2 linked regions of the Oryzias latipes genome follow. The protein of the gene in region 2 interacts with the protein of the main gene of each other region in a pairwise test. Links are inferred from orthologs where the notes say so. Each region holds a gene or a part of one and is shown on either strand. Other genes may lie near its edges.

Region 1 (3,754 bases), about 4.1 Mb from region 2:
ACATCCTTAATTGCATGTTAAAATTCTTTCTACATATGTCATTTAGATTTAATTTACTCTTTTAGGTGCAATGACTTCACAACTGCTGCACAACCAACCATCAGTACCAGCTGTTTTAGTTCTGTTCTAAAACTGTTCCAGTGTCGACAGTTATTAATCACCATGGGACACCCGGGGCGCTTTCCAAAAGCTAAGGGAAGTGCATGTGAGGACAAATCAAAAAAGATGTAAGAGCTCCAGTCTGTCTGCACAACCTGGCTGCTTGTCAGAGCAAATCAGAGACTGTGTGATACGCAATTCCCCTGCAAACATCACTGTGATTTTTTTCTTCCTGTTGGTTTGAGCAACCCGAAATGACCTGTTGCAAACCGAAGTCCCGATCTGATGTGGAAATACAAATGATCAGTGTGCAGGGGCCTTAATATCCTTGTAAACATGCAAATGTAGAAGGAGAGAAAAATTTAACAAGAGCCTCTTGCACCTTGCAGGAAACCATAAATTATCTAGGGTTTGGCTTCTGATTGGCGGAGGAGGCTGAGATTGTGTTGCTAGGGTAACTGAAGGGGAACCTCCCTGAGCCATGTCATTTTCTTTGTGTCTCAATATTTATCATGAATGTTTACAGGAAATAATCGTTTTAAAGAGATTGTTCTCATCTGCAGAGTTAAACATCATTAAAACATGTGCACAATAAAAAGGATCACAAAATGAATGATGCATGCATTCCAATAAAAACAAATGTTTTCACAACAAACTCACAATGTTATATGACAATGAAGCAAGAGAAAACCAAATTAAACTTTGATTTTACTTCTTGTAATGGTTGAATTGTCCTTTTTCATTTGGGGTTTTAAGTACTTATATCACAGTGCAATGTGAATGCAAACTCCCAGTGTTTGTTTTACACAACATCGCCCTCTGCTGGTCAAATAGTAACAAGGCTTTTGAGTTACCTTGTGCCGTAAACTTATATCAGCAGTAAAAATAATGAAAATTAAAAAATGTGAAAATAAATTAAATTGGATGGATTATATTTGTAGTGAATCCGTTTAGATGATCCAAAACAAAAACTGCGATCTTATAATATACGAAAACAAACAAGATTGTCCTTTATTTAGTTTAAAAAACTAAGGGGCCCACTAAAAAGCTATTCTAATACTTCAAGAATGTGATTTAAGGGGTGAACAAATTACTTTGAATTAATTCATATTTTGCCACAACACCCCTCTGGGTTTCGCCTCGATGGTACAGTCCTTTGGCAACATGGCGCTCGTTGGGAGACTGGCAGCCAAATATTGTCGGTCATTATTGTTTGAGCCTTTTCAAGGACGTTTTCGTGGAGTTTTAGCTCCGGGCTGGATTCAAAGCTGTGTTGTAGGTAAGAAAAACTAAATGCTGAATCGTGTGAGTGAACAGGAGAGAAATGTAAATCCTAGAGAGAACATTCAGAGCATGCGCACAACTAGCTGTGCTGTGCAGGGGACACTCACTGAATATAACTCTGTGAAAAATGTATGCTAAATAACTGTATTTTGTCTGAAATCAAATTATGTTTTTTTGCTAATAATTGTAAGTGGGAAAAGTGCTGTGTTTTAAAACATTTAGCTGTTTTCAAAGCATTTGTTTTTGTTCGGTTTTTGGTAAAAAGAAGATCGCATGTTCCAAACCAGCAGGTCACGTGTCTTCAAAATTTTGAATCAAGACTTTACTTTTAGACTTTGGCAAAGACTAAACATATAGTCACTGAGCTGTAAATCTGTTTTTTAAAGGCAACCTGGCCAAGAAGTTGGTGGTTGACGTGGTACAACAAAACATGTAAACAATAAAACACAAATTAAAAAAATAGAACTGTTAAAGGAAACACATTTGAGCATAACACACAAAACAAGTGTTTAGGGGTTGAATAGTCAACAAATGGAAGAGTAACAAATTAGAAACACAAACACTGTTCAAATGGCTCTGTGGAATTTTGTTTAATGTTCAAAAATAAAGCACTAAGACATAAAATGATACAGCTTCATCTGAGCAGAAGATGCAGCCAAACCAGAAGCCTGTTTCTCCATATTGGTCCTGACCCGAGAAACAAGAAAATGATGAATGTCAGTCAGAGGAACGAAGATCGTCGTGACCTCTTGACCTTTGTAGAAGAGACCTTTTAAGGGGGTTTTTGTAGATCAGAGTCATCCAGCGAGAAGACCTGCAGATGCTGAGTGAAGGTCACTCTGCTCTGGAGTGTTTTATTGTGATGAGTGAGACAAAAGAAGGTGAAGCCTAATCCTAAAGGTTCTACCTCACTTCATGTAAATAAGAATAAAGACAAACTCGAACTGGACTCAATGAATTAACCAAAAACATGAGAAATAACATCAACTTGAACTGAGAGTTCACTGCTACAGCCTCACATAATTGAGGGTGCGCCTGTCAATCAGAAGCTCACAGCCTCTTTTAGGCTCAACAATATTTGAAAATTAGAATATGTTGCTCTTTTTCATAGATAATAAATGTTAAATGTGACTAATACAAAAGAAGAGTTGGAAGAAAAGTTGATGTGTGTTGATTCTGTTGTGAATAAAAGCAACCTTGCTAGGATTTATGTGAGGAACCCTGTTTTTTTTTTTAAATCAGCTTCAAACAGGAAGTCAGTGTTCTTTTTTAGTTTAGCTCATTCAAGGCTATAATTTGTTGTTAGTAATATTATTGTTCTTATTTATTGCATTTTTGCTCCTATTTATTATGTTGTCTGTTCTTTTTATTTTTTGGTAATGGTATGGTAACAAAGCAATTTCTCCACTGTGCGATCAAAGTTTTATCTAATCTAATCTAATTGTATCTATTTACTAAGATCATTTTTAAAACAAATGCTGTAAAATGCCATTTAAGATCTTGGGGGGGTGGAAAAATCACCTAATGCTAAATGTGGGGTGTATAAAAGTGACCATTCCCAGTTTGAATTTTATTTTTTAAGACATCATTTGACCTACATTTCCTTCATTTCATGTGTTTTTCTGTAGCTAAGAGACATTTGCTGTCGGAAGATATTGTCAAACTGCAGGACTTCCAGCAGAGGAAGCTGGCTGTGGCTCATCTCGTCTCTGGAACAGAAGGTGAGAAGCTTTATTTCTCATTGCTGATCAGTTGCAGTTTTCCTTCAACAAACTTACCTTCAAACCTAATTTCACAGGTAATTTTATCGAGCTGTTCAGACAGAAAATGCAGAGAAATGAGCTGGTTCTGCGGGATGAACTGAAGCTCCTCCTTCACCTGTGCCAGTCTTTAGATGACATGGTGGTAGCCAGAGATGCCATTTATAGGTACACTGCACACAATTCTACATCAACAGATCATGCAAACGTTTTTTTGTTTTTTTTTTTGTTTTATTACCTGTCAGAAATCTGGACTGTTAACATCTGATCTTTTTTCCAAAGATACTATGCAGAAAATCGGAACTTGATGTACGGAGACTTTAAGTTTGGTCCTCTTTTCATGAGACTTTGCTACGAGTTCGGCCTGGAAGAAATGGCTGCTTCAGCTCTTACAGATAAGGTGAACATGAGTCATCAAAGCCCCAAAAGTTCCACATGTTTATGTGAAATATAAACGGTTTTGGACTGAAAGCTTGCTCTCGTTTCAGAATCTGAAAGGATTTTTCCTCGACACAACCTCTTTTAACATTGCTATAGACATGTTATTCATTAAAGGCTTGTATGAAAGTAAGTCACACATAATCTGGTGTTTCCAGGTGTTGGTGCATGTC
Region 2 (3,679 bases):
TTCACCACTTTCTGGTCATTATTGCTTGAAAAAAATTGATCAAGGACGTTAAAAACAAAACGATGGATGATCATTTAAGAGTTCTATTGACTGGGAAGAAGTCAGTGCTCTCCAAGGCTTTCATGCTAGTTTTCAAAAATGATTTTCTTAATTACAGAAACTTTAAGTTGCGCTGAACATTATTCATTAAACAAAATAAACGTAGTGCATGGGCAACAGGGTTTTAATGTAGATTTTGTTGCCTACATCCTGTTGTGTACAATGTGTTGGCAATAGAAAACATTGGTAAACAGGAAAGCTGCTGCTTCAATTGTCGCCATTACCAAAAAACATAGGTATGCCATTTCGAGAAATACATCAAAATAAAATATGCATACAGTATCTTGTGCATATGCTTGTGTTTTCACAGTTACATTTCCTTTTACCTTTAAGATACATCAAAGGTTAGTGAAAATTCTAGTTTTCTATTATTCTTTAATGGTGGCACCAATGCTCCATCGGCCTATACAGTTAATGTGATTATAAAAGGTTTTCGGTTTGAAAAAAAAGAGAAAAGTTCACAATAAACAACAATTTCTCAGCATAAACATAAGAAATAAAGACTAAAATCTAATTTAGGCATGAGTGGAAAAACCAGGAGAGTATTTTTAATGTTTGGATCATAAATATTTATTGCACTCTGATGATCAACATTACAAACATGAAGTGGAGTACATGTGTTCAACATTTCTAACAGTGTTGTTTCTAAAGAACATAAAAAAAGACAAGAGTTTGGTTCATTGCAGAAGGAAAAAAAAAAAAACACCACCAGAGATCAGTAGTACGAGATGACATCTATGTCAAATTAAACAAATTCAGATTATGGTATGCGAGACACTTAAACGTTCACCACACTGACACAAGGACACTTGATTTAATGCAGCTTTCTCTCTTCATCTATTGTAATGACTGCATTTATAATTACTACTCTGATTATCAGATGGCATGTGGGGAATACTAAAAGTATACATGGTACAACCTAAATCAAATCTATGATCTAAAAGAAAAAGCACAGAGGAAATACCCATGGTGAGTTTGACACTTGAGCTTGTTTTTGAATTTCGCTTTACGTCTTTAAGCAGATTATACAACAACAAAAAAGAAATAAAGCTTTAGTCCATTTTTATACACGTCAGGCTCCAATACAGTTAAGGTCAGCTTGGTGTAAAGAAAAACCTACAATTAGAAAAAACATGTTAAAGATGAAACTGGGTCAGAAGAAAATAGAATCTGACTTCAATTAAGTTGTAATGTGATCTTTAAATTAATCAAAATGTTTATAGTTTTCTTTGCAAACTAATGAATATTAATGAACAACAAATTTCAAGTTGAACCCCAAAGCACTAGAAACCAAAATAGCTGTTTCAGATGAAAACTCCTAACTCAAACAAAATCTTAAAAAGAAATGTTATTCCTTTAAGTAATTTTGGAGTTTGAATATTCCTTAAGGTGACCATAAACTTTTTCCAACAGAAACTGGGATTTTCTTTAGGGATGGACACAGTAGCACACAACTACTTCCCGTTAAGGGGGAAAAAAACAGTAGTCATAAATGCAAAAGAGGTCTATGATTAAGCAGATTTGATGAAATACAGGCAGATTAGCCTATTCAGCTTAAACCAAAATTGACTTTTGAGCATAGACAGAAGAATAGAAGAATATCACATAAACAGGGCAGTGTTGGCATTAAATAACATCTCAATAGTGCACAAAGAACAAAAGCCCAGCGCAAAAGGAACTTAAACACGACCCCATTGTTGCTAATGACCCGTAAATAAAGGCATTGCAATAGAAATGGGCGTCTTATTGGTTAGGCAGATCCTTGTATTGTTCTCCATGTGTAATCATTTAGCATGGAAGACATGTTTAAGATGCAGCTGTGGTTGCTTTGAATGCTTGAGATCAGAAATAAACATGAACACAGAAACATCTTACTAAGTGTTGACTTTCAAATCACACAGATCATAAAATGCTTAAGGAAAAAAAAACATCACAAAAACTCTTAAAATGACTAAATGTATTAACTGTAGCTTTGAAGCATGTCTATACATTATTTTTAAATGTGCTCATCACTATAATAAAAGGGCTAAAGTCTATTTTTTATTTCTATTGATAAGGCAGTAATTTATTTGTGTTGATCTCTTAGGCAGAACACTGCTCCATGGCAAAAAAAAGTATACATTTATAGACTGGTATATGATATTCCTAATATAATTCCTAAGCATAACAGTAAAAAAAACAAACTGAAAATAATGTATAAAAGTTGAAATAGCCTCAGAGTTAGCTTTTTCAAACAAAACATTTTCTTCCTCTAACTTTGCATGCTGCAATGCAAAATATAAATCCATGTAAATTCCTAAGGTTTGGATTTTGCAGGACCTTTTTTCTTTTATTTTCCTGAAGCAAATTGGTAGTTATTGTTCCCTGACTGTTGCTGGTATCTGGTTTCATACTGCCTTTAGATCAATTGCACAAAACTTTAAAAGCCACAGACTGAGTGTGCTACTAGACCCTAATGCTATAGGACACAGTGAGGTGTCGGTAATAAAGTGCTTCATCGGGCAAATGCCTGAATATGCTTTATTTTATACATAAGTACAAGTTTAATTTGAGCTTCTCTTCCAGGGGTTTTGTGCAAAGCTACAAACAAAACCAAAAAATCCCATGAAGGGTTCAACTGATAGTCGGGCTAAAAAAATGGAAATGTGGCATCAAATAGCAGAGGAAAGGAGTTTTCTCTGCACCTTGAAAAGCCTTTGACAGCAGCAGCAGCATCCTTTGCTTGTAGTGCGTTTGATCTAAACATGCACTGGAAATGCAAAGGATTTGGTGCAATACTATATATACTTTACAACTGAAATGAAAAAAAAGCAACCTTAGAATTTTGAAAATGTCTTGATTTTCTAAACCCATTTTCAAACTGAAGCTAGATTAAAATATGTTTAATTTGAAGGTTATTTGTTTTTGTTTCTTCTTTCAATACAGACTTCCTCCTTTCATTACCAAGTTAGGAATCTGTCAGTTGTTTTAGGAAGTGGAAGAATGCCTCCTTTGAATGTAGGTAAAGACTTTGACACAGTGGTCCCAACAATCCAGGACGAGCAACTGTCCTTTGTGAGTGGTGGCCACGCCCACAGGGCAGGTCAGCCCGTCCTGGATGAGAACATTGAATCCACCTTCTTTGGGGAACTGCAGGATTTCTTTTCTCCCGCTGTCTGTAACAAGCAGATCCCCGTTGGCATCCACACACATTCCAGTGATGCACCGAAAGTCTTCTGCCTCAGAAAAGAAATGGCTGAGCTGTTTGCCGAGCTGGCCGTCCGTGCCAACTGAACCAATCGAGAAGCCCCCCTCCAGGTGGGGCTCATTCTGACGCTTCTCGAAGTTCAGAGCCAGGCCCTGAGTAAAATAAACTGTTCCTGCTGCATCGCATGTGACAAACTTGGGGCGGACAGCAGAGCACAGTCGGTTGTAGCTGACCACGCCCACGTTGCGGTCCACTGCAAGACACCATAACTTTCCCCCCTCCACGTCTGACACTACAAACTGGCCCGATGGCATGGCTGTGATCCCCCAGGGCTTTATCAACTGGTTCTTGTGGCAAGCAATGCAGTGCCCATCCATAGTGTACACTTTGACA

What was found.
Region 1: the proteins of trim32 (region 2) and ptcd2 interact in binary tests that used the Homo sapiens proteins (3 or more experiments, as listed by UniProt). The two-hybrid records come from large-scale screens. The link is inferred for Oryzias latipes from reciprocal best matches to the Homo sapiens genes TRIM32 and PTCD2.

Annotation. Positions count from the first base shown.
Region 1 is NC_019870.2:7,528,850-7,532,603, forward strand, and holds the start of ptcd2 (pentatricopeptide repeat-containing protein 2, mitochondrial), read left to right. Parts: upstream 1-1,237; 5' UTR 1,238-1,242; coding exon 1,243-1,378; intron 1,379-3,011; coding exon 3,012-3,104; intron 3,105-3,181; coding exon 3,182-3,311; intron 3,312-3,425; coding exon 3,426-3,543; intron 3,544-3,631; coding exon 3,632-3,710; intron 3,711-3,754. UniProt on the Homo sapiens protein: Involved in mitochondrial RNA maturation and mitochondrial respiratory chain function.
Region 2 is NC_019870.2:11,625,851-11,629,529, forward strand, and holds the end of trim32 (E3 ubiquitin-protein ligase TRIM32), read right to left. Parts: coding exon 3,067-3,679; 3' UTR 645-3,066; downstream 1-644. UniProt on the Homo sapiens protein: E3 ubiquitin ligase that plays a role in various biological processes including neural stem cell differentiation, innate immunity, inflammatory resonse and autophagy.